Linked DNA regions of Callithrix jacchus. The protein of the gene in region 1 binds, or shares a complex with, the protein of each later gene. Links are inferred from orthologs where the notes say so. Each region holds a gene or a part of one and is shown in the gene's direction. Other genes may lie near its edges.

Evidence for each region.
Region 2: the proteins of CASK (region 1) and LIN7B are in contact, whole or in part, in an NMR structure (PDB 1Y74), measured with the Mus musculus proteins. The link is inferred for Callithrix jacchus from reciprocal best matches to the Homo sapiens genes CASK and LIN7B. Residues at the interface, in NP_001271432.1 of Mus musculus: Ala405, Arg408, Ala409, Glu411, Val412, Glu415, Ile416, Tyr419, Glu421, Asn422, Asp424, Ala425, Glu427, Leu428, Ile431, Leu432, Gln434, Phe437, Ala439, Leu440, Leu441, Thr443, His444, Val447, Ala448; in NP_035828.1 of Mus musculus: Leu10, Asp13, Val14, Arg16, Ala17, Leu20, Leu21, Arg23, Leu24, Ser27, Glu29, Leu30, Pro31, Pro32, Lys34, Leu35, Ala37, Leu38, Val41, Leu42, Ser44, Phe46, Cys47, Ile50, Arg51, Tyr54.
Region 3: the proteins of CASK (region 1) and DLG1 are in contact, whole or in part, in an NMR structure (PDB 1RSO), measured with the Rattus norvegicus proteins. The link is inferred for Callithrix jacchus from reciprocal best matches to the Homo sapiens genes CASK and DLG1. Residues at the interface, in XP_038955489.1 of Rattus norvegicus: Gly339, Ala342, Ala343, Arg345, Ala346, Val347, Gln349, Val350, Ser353, Leu354, Glu356, Ile357, Leu360, Thr361, Asp367, Leu368, Phe370, Leu371, Ser373, Val374, Phe375, Asp377, His379, Leu380, Thr382, Leu383, Leu384, Asp385, Leu386, Tyr387; in NP_036920.2 of Rattus norvegicus: Arg4, Asp7, Thr8, Arg10, Ala11, Leu12, Leu14, Leu15, Tyr18, Lys21, Leu22, Glu26, Asp27, Leu30, Ser33, Ile34, Arg36, Val37, Ser39, Ile40, Phe41, Ser43, Leu45, Phe46, Leu49, Ile50, Gln53, Glu57, Val58, Leu60.
Region 4: CASK (region 1) and LIN7C share a complex: the UniProt entries of both Homo sapiens proteins name them as parts of the brain-specific heterotrimeric complex. The link is inferred for Callithrix jacchus from reciprocal best matches to the Homo sapiens genes CASK and LIN7C.
Region 5: CASK (region 1) and LIN7A share a complex: the UniProt entries of both Homo sapiens proteins name them as parts of the brain-specific heterotrimeric complex. The link is inferred for Callithrix jacchus from reciprocal best matches to the Homo sapiens genes CASK and LIN7A.

What each region holds. Positions count from the first base shown.
Region 1 is NC_133524.1:42,389,236-42,392,745, reverse strand, and holds part of CASK (peripheral plasma membrane protein CASK), read left to right. Parts: intron 1-1,787; coding exon 1,788-1,856; intron 1,857-3,252; coding exon 3,253-3,288; intron 3,289-3,510. UniProt on the Homo sapiens protein: Multidomain scaffolding Mg(2+)-independent protein kinase that catalyzes the phosphotransfer from ATP to proteins such as NRXN1, and plays a role in synaptic transmembrane protein anchoring and ion channel trafficking.
Region 2 is NC_133523.1:42,926,077-42,930,167, forward strand, and holds the start of LIN7B (protein lin-7 homolog B), read left to right. Parts: upstream 1-1,289; 5' UTR 1,290-1,324; coding exon 1,325-1,361; intron 1,362-1,749; coding exon 1,750-1,868; intron 1,869-2,162; coding exon 2,163-2,234; intron 2,235-3,292; coding exon 3,293-3,502; intron 3,503-4,091. UniProt on the Homo sapiens protein: Plays a role in establishing and maintaining the asymmetric distribution of channels and receptors at the plasma membrane of polarized cells.
Region 3 is NC_133516.1:24,799,156-24,803,116, forward strand, and holds the start of DLG1 (disks large homolog 1), read left to right. Parts: upstream 1-1,151; 5' UTR 1,152-1,232; intron 1,233-3,961. UniProt on the Homo sapiens protein: Essential multidomain scaffolding protein required for normal development. Recruits channels, receptors and signaling molecules to discrete plasma membrane domains in polarized cells.
Region 4 is NC_133511.1:92,876,919-92,881,186, reverse strand, and holds the start of LIN7C (protein lin-7 homolog C), read left to right. Parts: upstream 1-1,463; 5' UTR 1,464-1,478; coding exon 1,479-1,515; intron 1,516-4,268. UniProt on the Homo sapiens protein: Plays a role in establishing and maintaining the asymmetric distribution of channels and receptors at the plasma membrane of polarized cells.
Region 5 is NC_133510.1:83,659,264-83,663,441, reverse strand, and holds the start of LIN7A (protein lin-7 homolog A), read left to right. Parts: upstream 1-1,378; 5' UTR 1,379-1,465; exon of another isoform or gene 1,466-1,610; 5' UTR 1,611-1,619; coding exon 1,620-1,701; intron 1,702-2,704; exon of another isoform or gene 2,705-2,770; intron 2,771-4,178. UniProt on the Homo sapiens protein: Plays a role in establishing and maintaining the asymmetric distribution of channels and receptors at the plasma membrane of polarized cells.

The sequences.
Region 1 (3,510 bases):
TAGAACATAAATGTTGCTGAGAAACAAAGAATGTCACACTTAACATTTTATGTAAATAATTTTAATGTTCTAGAATTACAGATGTCCTCATACCATTTCTCATCTGTTGAAGAAATGTAGTAAATACAATTGATTTTTGTCTTTTTGGCTAACCAGAAGGTACTGTTAGTTATTAATATAACATAAGTTTTTCTTTTGTTTTTTAAGTGGTTGAAGTAGTTTGGGGTGGAACCAGTATCATGCATGTAAATTCTATGTTCTTGAGTAAGAAGAATCCCTCTTACCTTCTTTGCCTTTGAATAGTAGAAAAAATAATACTTGTCTTCTAGCTCCACCTCTACCCTTTTTGGCCCTCCTGTTCCCCGGGAGAATTCAAGCTTGTGGTTGGACTCTTCCCAGCTAGGGCAACACTTGCAAAAAAAAACAAACAAACAAAGAAGGCTCTCTGACCACCTGCAACTGCATCTCCGAGGCCCTTGGTTAAAGAGTAGACCCCTGGCCCTACTGACTTGAGTCTCTGTGGGTGGCACCTGGAGATCAGCCTTGCTCACTAACATATGAGAATGCTCTTCTAAGGGATCTCATTACCTTTAAGGCTGACAGGTTATAGAAATGCTCTTAAATCATCTAGGGAAAAAAAAAATGTCTTTTAAAGAGACATGTACATTTCTAAGGCTTAAAAGAACTCTACAAAAGCAAAAATTAAAAAGTACTTATTTCCTTCCTTTCCTTGTTCTTATCGTTAAAGTTGATTTGGACAGTCAGGAAATGGAGCCTGGAAAATATTTTGAGTGTGTAGAATAGTAGAGAGAGCAAGCGATGGAGGAGCCTGGATATAGAAAGAGTGGCTGTGGCTCCTAGGATCTTTGCTGGAAGTGTAATATTGTTTTAAGCTTGAGACTATTGTTTTAATAAATTACTAAAATGATCTTAAAAAAATTTCTTCTCTGATGTGTATCTCTTTTACCCTTACTAGTAATAATATTTATTCTATAATAGAAAGATTCTGAGGTGGTTATAACATGTGAAATCTTAGGTTTGTTTCTCTTCTTTTTTTTTTGGGGGGGGGACGGAGTTTCGCGCTTGTTACCCAGGCTGGAGTGCAATGGCGTGATCTCGGCTCACGGCAACCTCCGCCTCCTGGGTTCAGGCAATTCTCCTGCCTCAGCCTCCTGAGTAGCTGGGATTACAGGCACGCGCCACCATGCCCAGCTAATTTTTTGTATATTTTTTAGTAGAGACGGGGTTTCACCATGTTGACCAGGATGGTCTCGATCTCCTGACCTCGTGATCCACCCGCCTCGACCTCCCAAAGTGCTGGGATTACAGGCTTGAGCCACCGCGCCCGGCCGAGTCAGTAATTCTTGACAGTGAGGTACTAAAAATTATTAAATATTTTTCAAACCTAATTTTTAATAAAAATTAGACACTTGGGATCTTCGGCACAAAAACTTTATAGTAATATTTTGTCATCTTATACTTGACAGGGTTTTAATATCAAGTCACTCTTCTGGGTCTCATTAAAAGAAAGAAAAGGTTATACAATGTTAGAGATAGGAAAGAATTGATTAATGAATGACACAGTCATCACTTACAATATGTGAATCTTCGAACTGCAAAATTTTTTTCATACTTCTGTGAAATCATGCAAGCAAGTCAGTATGGCACTTATACTGCTCAAACCTCAAAGGAAATGGTTGTCAGACTGTGGTTGTAACTGTTGATATAAATATCTCTGTGTTTCTGTGCTGGTGTTCTGTGTTAATGAACCTTGTGTCTTATTTCAGAGAGATTCCCCCTCCACTTCCAGACAGTCCCCAGCTAATGGTCATAGCAGCACTAACAATTCTGTTTCGGTAAGAACTTTAGCTCCACACAACAAAGTGTGACAATTTTGTTGGTGCTCACCTGCCATGAGTGTTCTAGTTACATGTGTTCAGTGGAAATAGTGTCTTCTGCTGATATACAAGGCTACTACAGCTACAATGCACTTTACTCCTGGAAAATCTTTTTCAACACTTCCTTCTCATTAAAAAGCCCCTTCAGTAGTTAAATTTGAGGAAATGTAGTTCAAAACTGCTTTGGTCATTCTAAAAATATTTCTATGCCACCCCACTCATATGTATGACTTTCCTCAAACCTATGCAAAGGATGTAAATGGAAATTTGTTTAAACTTCTAAATATTTTTTATTTTGAAAAAGATAAATGTAAGAATTTTTTAGAGTAGGCATTTGGGTATTCTTGGGCTTTGTAGTTTTCTACTCTGAGTGATATCAGCAACATGTTATAGTTTCCGCTATCTAAGTTTACGAATTGGTGTGCCCTCTGTTATTGTGGTACGTGCACATATTTTTGTGAATTATAAGCCTTGCCTGGATATGAAAAGCAAAAAGAACTGGCTTCAAACTGCACTTAAGCCACGCTGTTATCACATCTTTAACACAAAGTACTTTATATTGGACTTGAACATGGAGTTTTAAATTTTTTCAGAACTATCCATTTTGGAATATAGAAAGAATTGTTTTTCACTTATTTAAACAAATGGAAGCACTTAACAGGTGCAGGTTGGCAATATTTTGGTTGCTAATACTGCTGTTTATCACCTAGTTAAAATTATTGAGAGTTCTAATAATGCAGCAGTATTCTTCTATCTTGACTTTTAATTTGCCCTTTGAGAATATATCAACTTTTTTATCAGGTAAAATTGTAAATAATTTAGAGATCATCTCAAATGGAATGATATTCTAAGTATATCAGTAAGAGAAATTATGAAAGAAAATTGTCTATGACTTTATTTTCAACTTTAAAATAGGCTACCAAAGGAATTCATTTGTAACAGTTAACATTTAATACTTTTAAGATGGTGAAAAGCCATATAGCCATTGAATTTTTCAAAATCTAAATGGTTGCAGTGACTAAGTTGAAAAGGGCAACAGCTCCTTTTATTTTGGGGTTTTTTTAATAGGCTATTTAACTTGCAGTGGCTTTTGTGTTGAAGATGCTGAGTTGTTTCTTAAGAACACATTTTCTCTCTGCTTAAACTTACCTGCTTTCTTCAGCTTGCTGCTAAATGGCCTGGGTTTGATTTTTTTGATAACTCAACATTTCTGAGAAATGGAATAATGTATATTATCTCTTTACAACTTAAATCTAGCTCATTTTTTAACCATATTGTAACAGAACACACAAATTACTTTGTACTCTTGAAAAGTAAATGAAAATTTTTCTCCTGGGTTGGCTTTATTCTACAGGACTTGCCATCAACTACCCAACCAAAAGGACGACAGGTGAATAGATATCCTCTATAGAAACTTCTCTAAACTAAGCTGCTAATAGCCAATCCTTTATTAACCCTTTCCATCCCATAATGTCTGCATTTTGGACCATAACATTTGAGCATTGAGAGCTTGTACCATTTCATTTTAACACATTACACATGACTAATTCTTTATGAAGAATTTTTCCTCACATCTTTGTAGCTGTGATGGTTATTGTAATTTCAACCTGAT
Region 2 (4,091 bases), on another chromosome or scaffold:
TCCCAAAGTGCTGGGATTACAGGTTTGAGCCACTGCACCCGGCAAATTTTTTTTTTTTTTTTTTTTTTTTTTTTAACTCTCTTTTCATAGTTTCTCCCACCTGGGTTTCCTCCTACATTTCAGGTCATTCTCTGCTGTCCCCCGCTTTTAAGTGTTAGAGAGATTTGGGGACCAGTCCTAGGCCCTCTTTATATTCTCTTGCCCCTGACATTCTTATCCACTCCTGTGGTTTCATTTACCACCTCTGCCCCAATACTCAAGGATGCCTGCAGACCAGGTTGCTCTTTTGAGCCCTAGACGTAGATCGACTGCTTCTCCCCATGGATTCTGCACAGGCTCCTCAAATTCAAAATACCCAGTATCCACCGGGCAAGGCGGCTCATGCTTGTACTACAACACTTTGGGAGGCCGAGGCGGGTAGAGTTTGAGACCAGCCTGACCAACATGGAGAAACCCCGTCTCTACTAAAAATACAAAATTAGCCAGGCCTGGTGGCGCATGCCTGTGATCCCAGCTACTCCGAAGGCTGAGGCAGGAGAATCGCCTGAACCCGGAAGACGGAGTGGTGCCATTGCACTCCAGCCTGGGCAACAAGAGTGAAACTCCGTCTCAAAAATATATAAATACAAATTTGAGTGCCATATTTTACCCTTAGGAGTTTGCATGAAGCCCCAAATCCCCAATACACATGCCAACGCAGGAGCCCAGGCATAAACTATCCTGCCGGCCTTTTCACCTCATCATCAAGGAATCCCAACTCTGCTTCCAGCCACGTGGGCTCCTTCTGCGTGGTGGGGGTGTTCATCTTACCTCCCGGGACTCTGTCAAGTCCCTCCTCTAGGATTTCCTTCGTCTTCTGGATCATCGCCTCCCCACTCAGCTCTCATCACAGTCGTGGTTGGCTGTCTACCTCCCCCATAGACTGGAAGCTCCGTTCGGGCTGTGGGCTTGGCTGTCCTGCTCACCACGGTGTCCATGCCTCGGGCCCAGAAGATGTTTCACAAGAGTTTGTTGAATGAATGTGGGAAAAGGATGGACAGGGGGTAGACAGGTGTGGAGGACAGGCAGACAGGGATCGTGAAAGGGACACACAGACCGAACCTGCAATGGGAGGGCCCGCCAACAGGACCGACCGCCCGGGGCGGAGGGCAGGGCTGCGGGTGGCGCGCGGCAGCGGGTCGGGGCTGTCCGGCGTGGGGGAGCAGGGCGCTCTCCCGGCTGCGCCTCCGCAGGGGGCGCCCGTGGCCCGGGGCGTGGCCTCGCGCAGCCCCGCCCCCCTCGCCGGCGCCGGGGCAGGCTGGCGGCTGGCAGCGGTGGCGCCGACATGGCTGCGCTGGTGGAGCCGCTGGGGCTGGAGCGGGGTAAGCGCGCGCCAGGGGGCCCTGCCCACCGCGGCCTGCGTCCCCAGTCCCCGGTCCCCTCCCTTCCCGGGCCTGGCCGGCGCGGGTGGGCGGGGCGGGCGCCGGGGCCGGGCGGTCGGGGGGTGTGGGAGGCTCCGTGGGCGCGGGCCGGGGCGGGGGGCGCCCGCTTTACACCCCGGCCTGTGGAGCGGTCCCGGGGCCGCAAGGCGCCCGGCTGGTGGCGGTTTCTCCTGCGTCACCCTGGACTCTGCAGGGCGTCCGACTGGGCTTCGGCCGTCCTCCCGGGGCTGTGCGCTCGCCCTCACTCCGCCGCTCTCCTCGCTCCTCTGCGTCTCGGGGTCTCTGACACTCGCGGTCTCTGCGCCCCGCCCCCGCCCCCGCCCCGCAGACGTGTCCCGGGCAGTGGAGCTCCTCGAGCGGCTCCAGCGTAGCGGAGAGCTGCCCCCGCAGAAGCTGCAGGCCCTCCAGAGAGTCCTGCAGAGCCGCTTCTGCTCCGCTATCCGAGAGGTGAGGGGCGCGCGGCGCAGGGGCGCGAGCTGGCGACCGTCGTCCTCCTCCTCCTCCTTCTCCTGCTCGCCTCGAGCTCGGGGACTACGCCTCCCGGCAGCTCCCGAGGCGGCCCGCCTTGGGTGCCCACTCTTCAGCTCAGGGGTTCTTCGGGAGTTGTAGTTTCCTCGGGTTCTGATTGCGGGGGGCGGGGCGGATCCTGGCGTGGGATCGGGAGAGGGTCTGGGGCCCGGACTTCTGTGTCTAGGGCCGGAGGGGCTGGCGGCTCCCTGATGCGGCTGCCTCTTCACCCAGGTATATGAGCAGCTCTATGACACGCTGGACCTCACCGGCAGCGCCGAGATCAGGGCCCATGCCACAGCCAAGGTGGGCCCCTCACCCCATTCCATTGCTCCTGGTATCTGCGTAGCTGCCTGGTGGAGCTCGGTTATCTCCTTCACGCCAGTCATTTCTGTTTCTTCCCTCAAGATTTTTGCCAAATCTATGTGCCACCCTTCCTATTATTAAATAGTTGCACATTTTTACTTAAAACAAATGTCATACGAAGGTATCTTTTTAGCAACTGCAAATGGAAACCAGTGTGGCATGGCGGGCTAGAAGATAACCTTCAACATCTGCACAGTGCAAACCAGGAAAGTCACGGCGAGCTGACATCCCACTGCACCACAGTGAGATGCTGCCGCCTGCTTCTGCCCGGAGGCTCTGAGCTCCCTCCAGGCCTGGCTTTTCTCAGTGTAAAAGTAAGATCGAAGAGCTGGGTGCGGCGGCTCAGGCCTGTAATCCCAGCACTTTGGGAGCCTGAGGTGGGCGGATCACCTGAGGTCAGGAGTTTGAGACCAGCCTGGCCAACATGGTGAAACCCTGCCTCTAAAAAAAAAAAGTAAGATTGAGGCCAGGCATGGTAACTTATGCCTGTAATCCTAGCACTTTGGGAGGCTGAGGTGGGTCCTGACTTGAGGTCAGGGGTTCAAGACCAGCCTGGCCAACATGGTGAAACTCCATCTCTACAAAAATACAAAAAAATTAGCTGGGCGTGGTGGTACATGCCTGTAATCCCAGCTACTCGGGAGGCTGAGACAGAAGAATCGCTTGAACCCAGGAGGCAGAGGTTGCCGTGAGCCGAAATTGTGGCACTGCACTCCAGCCTGGGAAAGAGCGAGACTTCATCTCAAAAAAAAAAAAGGTAAGATTGGCAAGCGTGGGGTATTCAAGACACACTCACACCAAATGGACACATTCTCTTGCAAAGTGAAGGGAAAGGGGCGCACAGACATTTCAGGGGGATTTTGCATTGTGTCATGGCAATTGTCCCAGGCTTGGGGATAGAACCCAGGCTAAATCGCTGTCCTCGGTCCATATTCTCCTCCCCAGCCTTCATGCCCACTTTGGAGGGGTCTCACCTCCAGCTGCTTTCTCTCTCCCAGGCCACAGTGGCTGCCTTCACAGCCAGCGAGGGCCACGCACATCCCCGGGTAGTGGAGCTGCCCAAGACGGATGAGGGCCTGGGCTTCAACATCATGGGTGGCAAAGAGCAGAACTCGCCCATCTACATCTCCCGGGTCATCCCGGGGGGCGTGGCTGACCGCCATGGAGGCCTCAAGCGTGGGGACCAACTGTTGTCCGTCAATGGTGTGGTGAGTGGGGGGCTGAGGCAGAGCTGGGGGACACAGTCTGTCCAAGGTAGCATAGCCCCTGCTTTTGACATTGATTTAACACACACTGACTGAGCGATACCTCTATGGCTAGCCTTGTGCTGGGCAATGTTACAGACCCTGAGAGATGTTGGCCTCAGCTCCTACACTCAACGTTCCCTCTGTGGGGAGGGCAGTAGTCCCTGGCTGAAAAAGTCCTAATCTAGAGACCTAACAATGAGGAAGTGCAAAGTATTGTGACAGCCCAGATGAGACACCCGGCCAGTGTAGCTGCAGGAAGGTTTTGCAGAGTAAGGAACATTTGGGTTGGGTGTTGAAGGATGAGTAGGAGTTCTCCAGGCAAACAAGGTAGAGGGTGTTCCTGCTGAAGGTGCTGTGGAGAAGGATACTGACTTGGCATACCTCTGAGCTGAAACGGGCTTGGTTCTCATGGAGGTCTGGGCATACAGGTAATTAAAATCACTGTGGTTAGGTAGGGTGCAGTGGCCCACACCTGTAATCTCAGCACTTTGAGAGGCCGAAGCGGGTGGATCACCTGAAGTCAGGAGTTTGAGACCATCCTGGGCAACAT
Region 3 (3,961 bases), on another chromosome or scaffold:
AAATGAAACAAATGGAATCGGTTAAAGCAGTCTTGTGATTACTCTTGTATTGGACTTTGGAACAGCAGAAGTTCATGTATTTTTCTTAAAAATGCCCATCACCCCCTAGACTGATGGCCCACTTGAGCTGTATGTATACTGGTGGCAAACGAAAAACATTCAATGAAAGAAAATCTTATTTATGTGGTTTTAGTTAGCAAAAATTTTTTTAGAAGATAGCATCACTTTAAAACTCTAGCAAAACTTATTTTCAGTTTTTTTTTTTTGGTGCTTATTAACGAAAACCCTGCAATAAAACAAACAAACAAAACCTCTTTCCAACAGCCTGGAAGATTTTGCACCAAATCTTCCATATATAATATATATAATTAATTGTGATTACCTTTGGGTGGTAGAATTGGTGACCATTTTCTTTTGTTTGCCTCTCTGCATTTTTTTTTTTTTTTGGAGAGGGGCAGAGTCTCACTCTGTCGCCAGCCAGGCTGCAGTGCAGTGACACGATCTCAGCTCGCTGCAATCTCTGCCTCCCAGGTTCAAGCAAATTTCCTGCCTCAGCCTTCTGAGTAGCTAGGACTACAGGCACACACCACCATGCCCAGCTATTTTTTTTCTTTTTTATATTTTTAGTACAGATGAGGTTTCGCCATGTTGGCCAGGATGATCTCGATCTCCTGACCTCCTGATCCACCTGCCTTGGCCTCCCAAAGTGCTGGGATTACAGGCTTGAGCCGCCATGTCCGGCCTGCCTGTCTACATTTTTTAAAGCAATGAAGAAGAGGAAAGATGCCTTTAAAAATATATTCTAAGTAATATTCAGTGAAATGTAAACAGTTTGAGAATGTTTTTCATGATAGACACAGATTTGAAGAGAGGGAGAGTATTAGTTGGCAGCCTAGAATTTGCAGCTTGGACTTTATTTCTCCCTATCAAGATTATAGATTGGTTGTACCAGCCAGGGAGCAAACAGCTGACCTCAAATCACATGCCAATATACTCACAATTGAACAATCATTGAAGAAGCTATAAAGCACACAAAATGCACAGTAGTTAAAAATAATAAACAAATGACGCTTCTGTGTTTTCTTGCCTGAGAACAAGGGCCTGTTCTTCTAGTCTTTATAACAAAATAGTGAGACTCTGTGGAAAAAAATACAGCAGTTGGTAAATGTTCTAAACGAAGCATTGCCAGTACATCATAAACTCCGAGTGCTTCTGACTTCACCTGTGATTGGGTAAGAATGCTGACTGGCTCCGAGCAGGTGGCCAGTGGGCCTCTAGATATTAATTCATTTCAGAAAATGGCCATTAGGAAATTTCATTTTTTTCTTTCTTAAAGTCAAATTCCTGAATTTGGTTTTTAAAACAGGAGAAGTATTTCCTAGTGAGAAAGTGATTTATTTAGTTTTTCCACGTTACTGAAACAAGCTTATTTTTTTTTTTAAGGTAACATCGTTCAAAGACAGATTAGTTGATAAAAAACAGTTTAGAAAGACTTGCAAAGTTTCCATTTGGGAAGCAAAACGTCTTTCTATTGCATTTATTCCTGTGTGTTTGACATAGCGAGGCAAAAACAGAAGCCCTGCTCCGTCCTCCGAATCAGCTGCCCGCTTTGGTTTCATGGGTTTTGTTTCCCTTGCTACCTGGGGGAGAAGAGTTGTGCTGATGCTTACTTTTCGGACATCCAAATGGTGGGGATGGTTTGTGGCAACCCCTCCACTTGCCAGTCCCGAAATACTTTTTTAGTGCAGGGTCAGGCATCCACATTTCCCTGAGGGAGCTCTCCTGGATAGCTTGCCAGGACACCACAGTGTGCAACCAAATACTAGAGTATGAAATGAAAGAGGCGATGGCGGTATTTGTGCTTGATGGGCAGAGAACTGAGGATGGCAGGTCAGCTTGCTGGGCTCTATTCCAACAAATGTCCTTTAGACAGTTGATCTCTTTGCTGGGCTGAACTCTACTAGATACCGTGTGGGATTCTGGTGACAGGAGGGGAATAATTGGAGATGTTTGTTGATTTCAATGTCAGTTGACATATCTTTATTGGGCATCTGCAATGTGTTAGGTGCTAATAGATGCAAATAATTTTACAAAGAAGAAAGTTAGACCTATGAAAGTATTTCATAATTTACAGTGAGTTTTCCTTTGCATTACTTCAAAGAAGATACAAAGGCATGGTCCTTGCATTCAAAAATTCATAATCTATTAGGTGAGATAAAATATGTAGATAAATCATTACATTACAGAGTAGAATACAATACAGGTCACTAGAAAAAGGGCCAGACCCTGACCAGGGAATGAACAACTATGCTGGAGTCGCATGCCAATGCTTGCCCACCTCAGCATTCAAAAGAGGGACAGGTCACATCCAGCTCTGGTTCCAGCTGTGTCTGAGCAAGATGTACATGACAGAATCTGGATGTGTGAATAGAGAGAAGAGAGTGGTTGTACTTTTGTCACCTTCAAAGTACTTAAAGGGTCACACTCTTGGTTTTGGTTTCTGGTTCAACGTCTCCTGGAGGATGTGTACAACAGCCATTTGGTTGCTTTTGCAGAACCTGTACTTTTTTTGTTGCTGCTGTTGAGAGAGGGTCTCACTTTGTCACCCAAGCTGGAGTGCACTGGTGGATCTCAGCTCACTGCGACCTCTGCCTCCTGGGTTCAAGCGATTCTCCTGCTTCAGCCTCCAGAATATCTGGGACTACAGGCATGCACCACCATGCCTAGCTAATGTTTGTGTTTTTAGTAGAGAATGGATTTCACTATGTTGGCCAGACTGGTCTTGAACTCCTGACCTCATGTGATCCACTCACCTCAGCCTCCCAGTGTACTAGGATTATAGGCATGAGTCACCATGCCCGGCCTGAGCCTGTACTTTAAAATTTTAAATCATTTTTGGAGCCCACAAGCTAATCGAATTGTAGCTGATATTTCAAGTGGAATTAGCCTGGGTACAGTGGCTTATGTCCATAATCTCAGCACTTTGGGAGGCCAAGGCAGGCGGATGACTTCAGATCAGGAGTTCGAGACCAGCCTGGACAACATGGCGAAACATCATCTCTACTAAAAATACAAAAATTAGCCAGGTGTGGTGGCACATGCCTGTAATCCCAGCTATTCCAGAGGCAGGAGAATCACTTGAACCTAGGAGGCGGAGGTTGCAGTGAGCCAAGATCTGCCACTAAACTCCAGCCTGGGTGACAGAGTGAGACTCTGTCTCAAAAAATAATAATAATAATAATAATTCATGTGGAATTAAACCTCTTGACAGTGGTCTAAGTTTCACTTTTGCACCATTTTCTAAAGCACCACAATTTAGGGAAAACTTTTTTTCAGTTGTGGGGGATGATTTATAGACCTCAGTCACTTAGATGATTAACTTGGTCCTAAAATTTGTAACTCTTCAATACAAGTTTACAAAATTCATCATGGTGCCTAGGGGAGACCTCTCTTGGCTAAGGGATAGTTTTTCAGTAAACATTTTTTGTTTCAACTCTTTATTCTGATAAATATTCTAAAATGGTGTAGAAGGATTTATTGCCTTGGTAATGAGGAGACATTATTATTTTCTTGGGAAATGTAATATCATGTGGTGTCTCAAATTTCTTATTCTGAGTGCCAGTTGCTATTGAACAGGGCTATAGATAAGGAAGATAAGGGCGTTATAAACGAATGTGTACTGACGTCGGAAGTTTCCTTGAAAACAAGTAACTTACTAAATTTCCTCTGATATAAGTGTATGTGTGTGTTGTTCTTCCGATAATTTAAAAAGAATTTTAAAAAATAGTAATTCATTAGAGATTCTGATTAGTCTGATATTTTTGCATTTCCGGGTTTGCTTATAATTTACTGCATTCATCTGGTTCTGTGACTCTCATGTCCTGATGTGTCCAGAAAGGTCAAGACCTGCCTTAGAAAGTCTTCCACATTCATTCAGCGAGAGAAATGAAGGAATGTGCCA
Region 4 (4,268 bases), on another chromosome or scaffold:
CATTCCACACAAGAACAACATAAATGAAGATTTGGGGCCCGGTGCAGTGGCCCACACCTGTAATCCCAGCACTTTGGGAGGCCTAAGCAGGAGGACTGCTTGAGCTCAGGAGTTCAAGACCAGCCTGGGCAACACATCAAGACCCCCATCTCTACTAAAAATTTTAAAATTAGCCAGGCATGGTGGTGCTTGCCTGTAGTCCCCACTAGGGGCAAGGCTGAGATAGGAGGCTGTCTTGAGCCCAAGTTTAGTGAGCAATGATCGCAACACTGCACTCCAGTCTGGGCAACGGAGAGAAACAATGTCTCTAAAACAAACATAAAGACTTAGAACGAGGAACAAACATGACTGAAAATATACCACCTGGACTGAAGTGGTGGTTGCACCTAGAGGTAATGAGAAAGGTTAGTTGGATGAGTTAGGGTCAGAGTATGCAAGGCTTTAGAAATAGGTAACAGGAGAGAAACTATTGAAAGTTTCTGAACGAACTTGTGATGATGAAATCAGAATTCCAGGGGAGAAAAAGGAGCATAGTAGTGGCATTCATGATGGATTTGGAAAAGAAAAATACTAAAGGTGAATGGAAAGGGTGGACCAGGGGCAACTAGTTATTAAAACAGTCCTATCATGAAGTGTTGAAATGTTGGATGTAAACACATCTACCACAGTATCAGCACAGACTAAGGGCTTGGGTAAATGTTAGTCAAATGCAAATACAAAAACTTTTCTTGGTTCATGAAATTTTCAGAATTGGCTCAAAGAATCTGTAATGCACTGAGAATTTACTATTTGCTTCAAAATATTTCATTTACTTAAGATTTTATAAGAATCACCTGCTTATAAAATTGTTACTTTGTGGTACACCCAAAGCACCTTGTTTTCTCCCTCACCCAGATATGTTTCATGCTCTTTGTACTTTTCACCCTTAAACAGATTTGGAGGGAAGATTCAAGAGGTGGGTTTTTAAATTTAAAGCAACGCTGTCACAAATTGAGAACTGACAACATGTCATTACACACTTAATTGCCACCGAATCTCAGAGTTTAAAAATTGAAAGCACCTAAGTGATAGGACCTCTCGTTGTACAGATGCGAAAACTGAGGCCGAGAGAGGGTAAATGAACAGTCCCGGGTCAAAGAGCTAATGATCAAGGTGGGACTAGAATCGACTACTTGACTCCTCTGCGTGGAGCCAAGGATCCGAAGCGGTTAGGATAAGGGAAACCCAAGGGAGAGAACAGAGTCAGGAAAGCAGCTCTTTCCAACCCTAGGAGGCCGCGGAAGGTGCAGAGCCAAGCCAAACTCAAAAGCCGCCAAGTCCAAGTACCCTTACCCTGATGGCGGCTACGAAACCACCGGCCAACCTCCCGATCTCGCGATACTGACAGGCGCTCACTTCTCCGGCTTCCGGCGGGCCCCGCCTCTCCACCGCAGCCTTTCTGTCGTCATTTCCTGTGGGTCTGTAGGCTAAGGGAGAAGATGGCGGCGCTAGGGGAACCCGTGCGGCTGGAGAGGGGTGAGTGCAGCCGAAGCTCGGCGGAGGTGGGCGGAAGGGTTGAAGGAGTCCTAGGTCGCTGGAGGGGTGGAGGGGTGACCCAGGCTTTGAGATCCGGAGCCAGGCTGTCCCTTGCGCTGGCGCTAGAGGCCGCCGATGTCTCTGTGCCTGGCTGTAGGAAGGACGCTTACGGTCTTTCAGCTGATACTCAAAGCCCTCTTCTGTTAACACGGGCTGTCCCGGGGCACAGCACAACTAAATATAACCTGCTAGCTTCGCAGACACACGCCGCACACGCGCTCCCTTGGTGGGTACAGCATAAGCAGCATTCGGAGACCCGTTTACCCGAAAAGCAAACGTCACACACCCAGTTCGTACAGACTACGTTCATTGCCTGTACAACACGAAGACGGACACACGGTCCAATTCAACAGAACCTCCCTTCCCCCTTGTTTACACGCAAACTTCTTCATTACTTTTCCCACAACCCCACTTGTATTTGGGTTGGGGTATTTGCTAGCTTTTGTGCCCCTCCCAGAAATGGAGAGGTTGCTTTAAAAACAATCCTACTGACTTGGTCTTGGGAAAAAGGTTACATAAGTAAGCAGAATAGTGGTAGATGCTAAAACACTTGCAGGTGTAAGGTTTTCAATTTCTTACAAACCCACAGTTGCAAAACTGGTTGGTTGATTCTTCCCTAGAGCAGACTGTCAAGGAAAATAAAACCTCCTCTGCTGAGTAATTAGAGATAGAGAAGACTGAAAATAGCTGGCTATGCGCCTACCAGATTTCCAGCATTCCAGCGTTTCCAGTCCTGTTACGGATTTCCAGCCTTCCACTCTGTCCCTAAATCCTTTATTTCAAACAATTTTAAGCATGCTTTTCATACACCATCATTAGAAGTCATTGATAGGAGTTAAGAAGCATGAGTAAATATTTTGAGTTCTGGTGGTAAAAAAAAGAAAGTGTAGAATAGAGACTAAAATTATATTGCACATATTAACATTTGCAGTTACAGTCTGAGTATTACTATTGTTCCCTAAGAAAACACATTTTTAGAATTACTGTACTTAGAAAAACCTCTTTCCTAATGCCTCCCCACAAACAAAGGTGCACTTAGTATCGCTGATTTGTTCTTTATAGTGTTCACCATTTGGAAGCCTCCTAGTAAATGAGATTCTTTCCCTTAAGCCTATTAAAACGTCATTTTAGACAGGACTAGCTACTCTGGGAACACTTGCCGAGTTAGGCCTAAGACTGACATCTTTCTCTTGAGCACAATGGCATTGTGTTTCCTAGATGGGAGCAAATCTGTTTGGTGTTAACAGAAGTAGGAGTTTTTCTTTGAAAAGCTAGTTGTAAGATTCTAACATATTGGTGGTCTTACTCCCAGAGGCAGAGTGTCGCCCTGTCGAAGAGACTGGAATGCAGTGGCGCAATCTCACTCGCTACTGCCTTCACCTCCCGGGTTCAAGCAATTCGGCCTCAGCCTCCCGAGTAGCTGGGACTACAGGCACACTCTGCCACGCTTGGCTATTTTTTGTATTTTAGTAGAGACGGGGTTTCACCATGTTGCCCAGGCTGGTCTCGAACTCCTGAGCTCAGGCTATCCACCTGCCTTGGCCTCCCAAAGTGCTAGGACTACAGGCATGAGCCACCGCACCCAGCCGGTTTTCTGTGTTGTTAAATGCAGCACAAAATGTGTAACTCCTGTGGCAATTAGTTTTGATAGTCATGGCTTTGCTTTGTGCTGTTACAGGCTTGTTTTCCTTTTCCATTCTTCAGTAAAGTCTCAGCCCCTTAGAGGGATGAATAACAGTCAACCCTCCATATCCATGGGTTCCACGTACATGAATTCAACCAACTACAGTTTGAAAATACTTAGAGAAAAAAATCCTGTCTATAGAATGTGTACATTTTTATCTTGTCCTTATTACCTAAACAATGTGGTAATATGGTATGGCCTGGAGCGGTGGCTCACACCTATAATCCCAGCTCTTTGGGAGGCTGAGGTAGGTGGATCATGAGGTCAATGGATCACGAGGTCAGGTGTTCAAGACCAGCCTGGTCAAGATGGTGAAACCCCTTATCAACTAAAAATACAAAAACTAGCCAGGTATGGTAGCAGTCACCTGTAGTCTCAGCTTCTTGGGAGGCTGAGGTTGCAGTAAGTAAATATCTTGCCACTGCACTCCAGCCTGGGCAACAAAGCAAGACTCCATCTCAAAATGACAACAACGACAAAAATAATGTGATATAACTATTAACATAGCATCAGATATTGTAAGTAATCTAGAGATGATTTAAAGTATGGAGCAGGAATATGCATAGGTTATATGCAAATACTACATTTTATATCAGAGACTTGAGCATCTGCAGACTTTGATATCTGTGATATCCGAAGAAGGTCCTAACAAACCCTCCACGGTTATCGAGACAGCTGTACTAGTAGTTGCCATTTAGCAGGGGAAAAAGATTACATCAGCTCTGATTCTTTCTTAGAATTCTAACAGACTCTATTAGCAAACACTCCCAACAGTTCTACAGTAGAAAATCCTATAGTACAGTTACAGTTCAGTACCTGATCACATATGATGATTTAGAATCCCTTCTAAATCATCAAAATATTATTTTAATGAAACACAAATTTGAGCACGTATTAGGTACAGTTTAGATTTAGTCAAAAGCATTTTACGTTTTTCCGTTTTTTTGTTAATTGGAAATTTTTATATGGCTTAACATATTATAACTTTATAAATAAAAATGATTGATGA
Region 5 (4,178 bases), on another chromosome or scaffold:
AAACTACTATTTTAGGTTTGTTTTTAGGGTGTATTAAGTCTATATATGGCAACCATCTTTGACTTTCCCAATCATTGGTGAAATGTTGCTCCTTAAAATTCAATTGTAGACTATAAAATGAAAAAGACCTTCAGAAATCATATCTGTAATCAGAAGAAAATGGCATCAATTATATGCAAATATTTTGCTATAAAACGGTAGCTGCCTTTTAGAATTTATTGCTAGCCCTAACAATTCAACTCCGCCACAGGGAACAAGATGGAGGCAGCTTTGTGTTTTCCAATCCTGCACTCACAGTCACCCCTATTCAGCTTATAGAAGGTTTCTTTATGTTTGTTGATTTCATAATCGGGAAATGAATTCCTAATGACAAGATAGTGAAAGTAGTCTGTTTCTTGGGGTGAAGGGGTCACAACCAGTATTTGAAGGCACTAGTAATTGAATCCTGATCAACTGACTCTAAAGTCAGGCTTTTAATAACATCATCTCCCACTGCATTACAGGCTACAGGAAATCAGAGACTAAATTGAACTCCTAAATCAAGGCGTGGCACAAGGTAATGTAACTCTTCTATCTCAATTCCTGGTATATATGTTAAGTAATAAGTGGCATCTCTGAACCACTGGTTAGAAAACAACATGAAAAGTGATAGGTACATATTTTTCAAACGTAGTGATATGAAACCAAAATCAGTTTGGTCATTAAGAGCAAAGTTTTGTTGTTGGGTGGAGGGAGGGAGGAGAGCAGGGCATGTTTATGAGGTGTGGTATGTAAAAAAATTCGGAGAAAATCTGAACATCCTACTTATTTTTGGGTTACATTTACTGAACTGGTAAAGTATTAACAGTGGCTTGAAAAAAAAAAAGAAAATGTAGTGAGAGAAACTTACCTACATTTTTTTTTATTTTGAAACACTTTTAAGAGGTTTGCCTTTTTTGATTTTATTCACCAGGAATATACTCAGGTCCTAAATGAACATCTATGGATGGAACGCTCGCCTTAAGTCAGTTATCTTTATATACAGTTATAAGTCAACGTTCAAAAAAAACTTCAACAGAAATTAACTGCAAGTGTAATTACATCCCAAACATTTCTGACAGTAGAAGCATTTTCTCTCTAAAGGGGATGGGATTATTGTATTGACGATTTCTCTTAATCTGAGAAAACTCATCTCCTACTCCCTCCCCCATATCCCCTTTCCATCCTCTCTCTTCCCCGACACACAGAAGCGCGCGCGCGCGCGCGCACACACACACACACACACACACACACACACGTATATTCTGACCATTTTATTAGAGGGGAAAGTTGAAAGAGAGCAGCCCGCCAGCTACACCCACCCAGCGCTCCTGGGGGTGGAATAGCAAAGTTCTAGGGCAGAGCCTTCTCTCCGGAGCCCGGCGACGCAGTCGCTCTCGGATACCTGCTCAGCTCCGCGCCGCAATTGAACTGCCACCGCGGAACAGTTGCGTCTCCATCTGGCTACCAACCCACCCAAGCTTTCTTCTCCACCACCACCACCACCCTCCTTCCCCCTCCTCCCCCTCCTTTCCGTCTTCCCTCTCCACCCCCGCCCCCAATCCATCTCCTCCTTTTTTTCTCACTACAAGCGGTTGCTGATGCTGAAGCCGAGCGTCACTTCGGCTCCCACGGCAGACATGGCGACATTGACAGTGGTCCAGCCGCTCACCCTGGACAGAGGTAAGGACGCGGTTCGCCCGCCAGGCCACCATGTCCTCTCTCCCCTCCGCCGCCCACCCGCCGACCCCCCCAGGCCAATTCCCACCGGGACGCGGGACGCGCTCGGGCCACGGGAGAAGGGGAGCCAGGGCGAGCCTGGAAGGCGTTTGCGCCGGGAGCAGGACACTTTCTTCCCCTTTTCTCCCCGCCACGTCCCCGCCGCCCCTTCACACTGGACTCGCCCCGCCGAGGGGACGCCTCCTGCGGGCTCTGGGGTCCCCGCAGCCACTCCCAGCCCCTCGCCGGGTCGCCTCCGGGCCCCTGGCTTTGTTGGACCGGCCGCGCGGGGACTGCTAGGCGCCCGGGGCTCGGGGTTGGAGAGAGGCACGGAGCAAGCTCGCCGGCCGGAGCGAGCCCAGAGGAGACCGGCTAGTGAGCCGCTTGCCAGCCTGCGCGGCGCAGGGGCCCGGAAGGAAGGAAGTTTGTCCTGGCGCCGGAGGGCGAGGGTCGGTTCTCCTGCGGGAGTCCGGGAGGCCTCTCGGGGGGCTGGCAGGGCGCACCCCGGGGCGGCCGGACGCAAGGCGGCGGAGCCGCCTCAGGCGGGGAGCTGCCCTCCGCCCTAAGGGCAACGCAGAGCGCGGGGAGCCGAGCCCTGGCAGTTGAGCCTCAGCAGCCGAGCCCGGCTCTCCCGGGCTTCGCGTTCGAAAGCGGCGAGGGTCGCGCCTGTTCCGGCCGCCGGCAGCTCCCGGTCTGTGGCAACTCTCAGCTTCTCCCGCGCCAGCCTCTCTCGTCCTTTCCCAGCTCCGCGTCACCGCGGCGCCCGGGCTACTGCGGAAGGCGCGGGGGCACAGCGCTCGTCGGGTTAAATTTCAACTTCTGACCTGCGACCCAGTACGTCCCACTCTCTGACTTCAATGGGGAAAGTGTTGGTTTCGTCCCCAGGACCCACCCCCCGCCACAAGCTCAGGGATGGAGTCCTCTGCTGTGATCCGGGCCTCGCTGGTGCACCCGTGCGGGGTTATACCTGTCTCTGAGTGTGTGGGTTTCCTTCCCGGCTTCCAACGTCCAGTGATGAAGGCGCTGGAGTCCCAGGGCTTTACAGAGGACACCCGCTAGTCCCTCTCCGTAGCCGCCGGATTTAGGACCCTGGGCGGCCATTTGGAAATGGTGTGGTCAGACGAAAATGATTTAGTCCGATGTACCTCCAAAAATTTTCTTTCTAGAGGATTAAACTGAACGGTGGGGCAAGGCAAAAGAGCATCCTGCTGGGAGTACAGTGACAAAGCCAGTGAACTCAGTTTGAGGTTTTTAATTTGGAGAGGCTGTGGGTGACTTTAACGCAATCTGTTGGCGCCAGAACAGATGCTATGTGGTGCCCATAGCAACCTTTCTTAGAGTAAGAGTTGAAAAATAAAATGTAATTGATTTTGTATTAGAAAATGTTGATTTGCAAGCTGGCAAAATTAATAACAGTAGTTAAAGGCCTCAGAAACCCGTTGTATAATCCATGATTTTACCCACAATATCATCATCTGCACTAAGCAGGATAAATCCATTGCCAGTAAGAACCAAACAGATGGCAAGCTATCAGAAACTATGGACTTCCCAAGTATTTATGTTTTAATGTGATGAGCTCTTATATTGTCCCATTACAAAATCACAGTCGTTAAACATCCCAAATCAAGTGACTACGTTAGGAGCAAAACTCCGAGAAGATTGCATACCTGAGTCATTTTATATACTGCTACTACTACTAAAAATATTTCAATGTTTGGGTTTTACCTTAGCTCTTAGATGCCTCAGTCAGTTATTGAGAGGAGGTGCTAATTGGACTAAGATTTATTTTTAAAGTTTGTTCTTGCTCATGGCCAAACTCTACTTGTCCTTAGTGTGATTACGTCCATGCAGTAGTTCAGGAGGCAAGCAGCATTAGCCTGTGGATGGGTCCGAAAAATTCACCAGCAGCTCACACAAAATCTATAACCAAGAGATGATGGGTTATTGGCATCACCACTGAGCATAAAGTCAATATATAAAATATTGTTCTCTGTACCTTATTAAAATGAGTCATTAATAGGTTACCTTCATGATTAAACTGATGAAAGAAAACATTCTGAAAATTTCTCTTCAAAAAAGGTGCATTTTAAAAGATGCAGCCCAGTATTACATATCTGGGTCCTAGTTTCAACTCTGATATTCACTCTCAATACACCAGCCTCATAGCACATGAGTTTCTCTCTGTGCCACATCGGGAGTTTGAATTAGATGACTCTAACACTTTGCAGCTTTAGCAGTCTATAATTCAATTAATTAGACTTAAGACTCAGTTTTTGGTCACCTACTGGGAGATTTTCCAGATCACCTCTCTCCCAGGCTGCTTTGGTACCCTTTGATGTGCTCTAAATTGACTTGCTGCTTTGGCCCCATTAAAGCATTTATCATACTCTGTTGCATTTCTCTCCCTATCGGATGGAACTCCTTGAGGGAAGAGACCATTT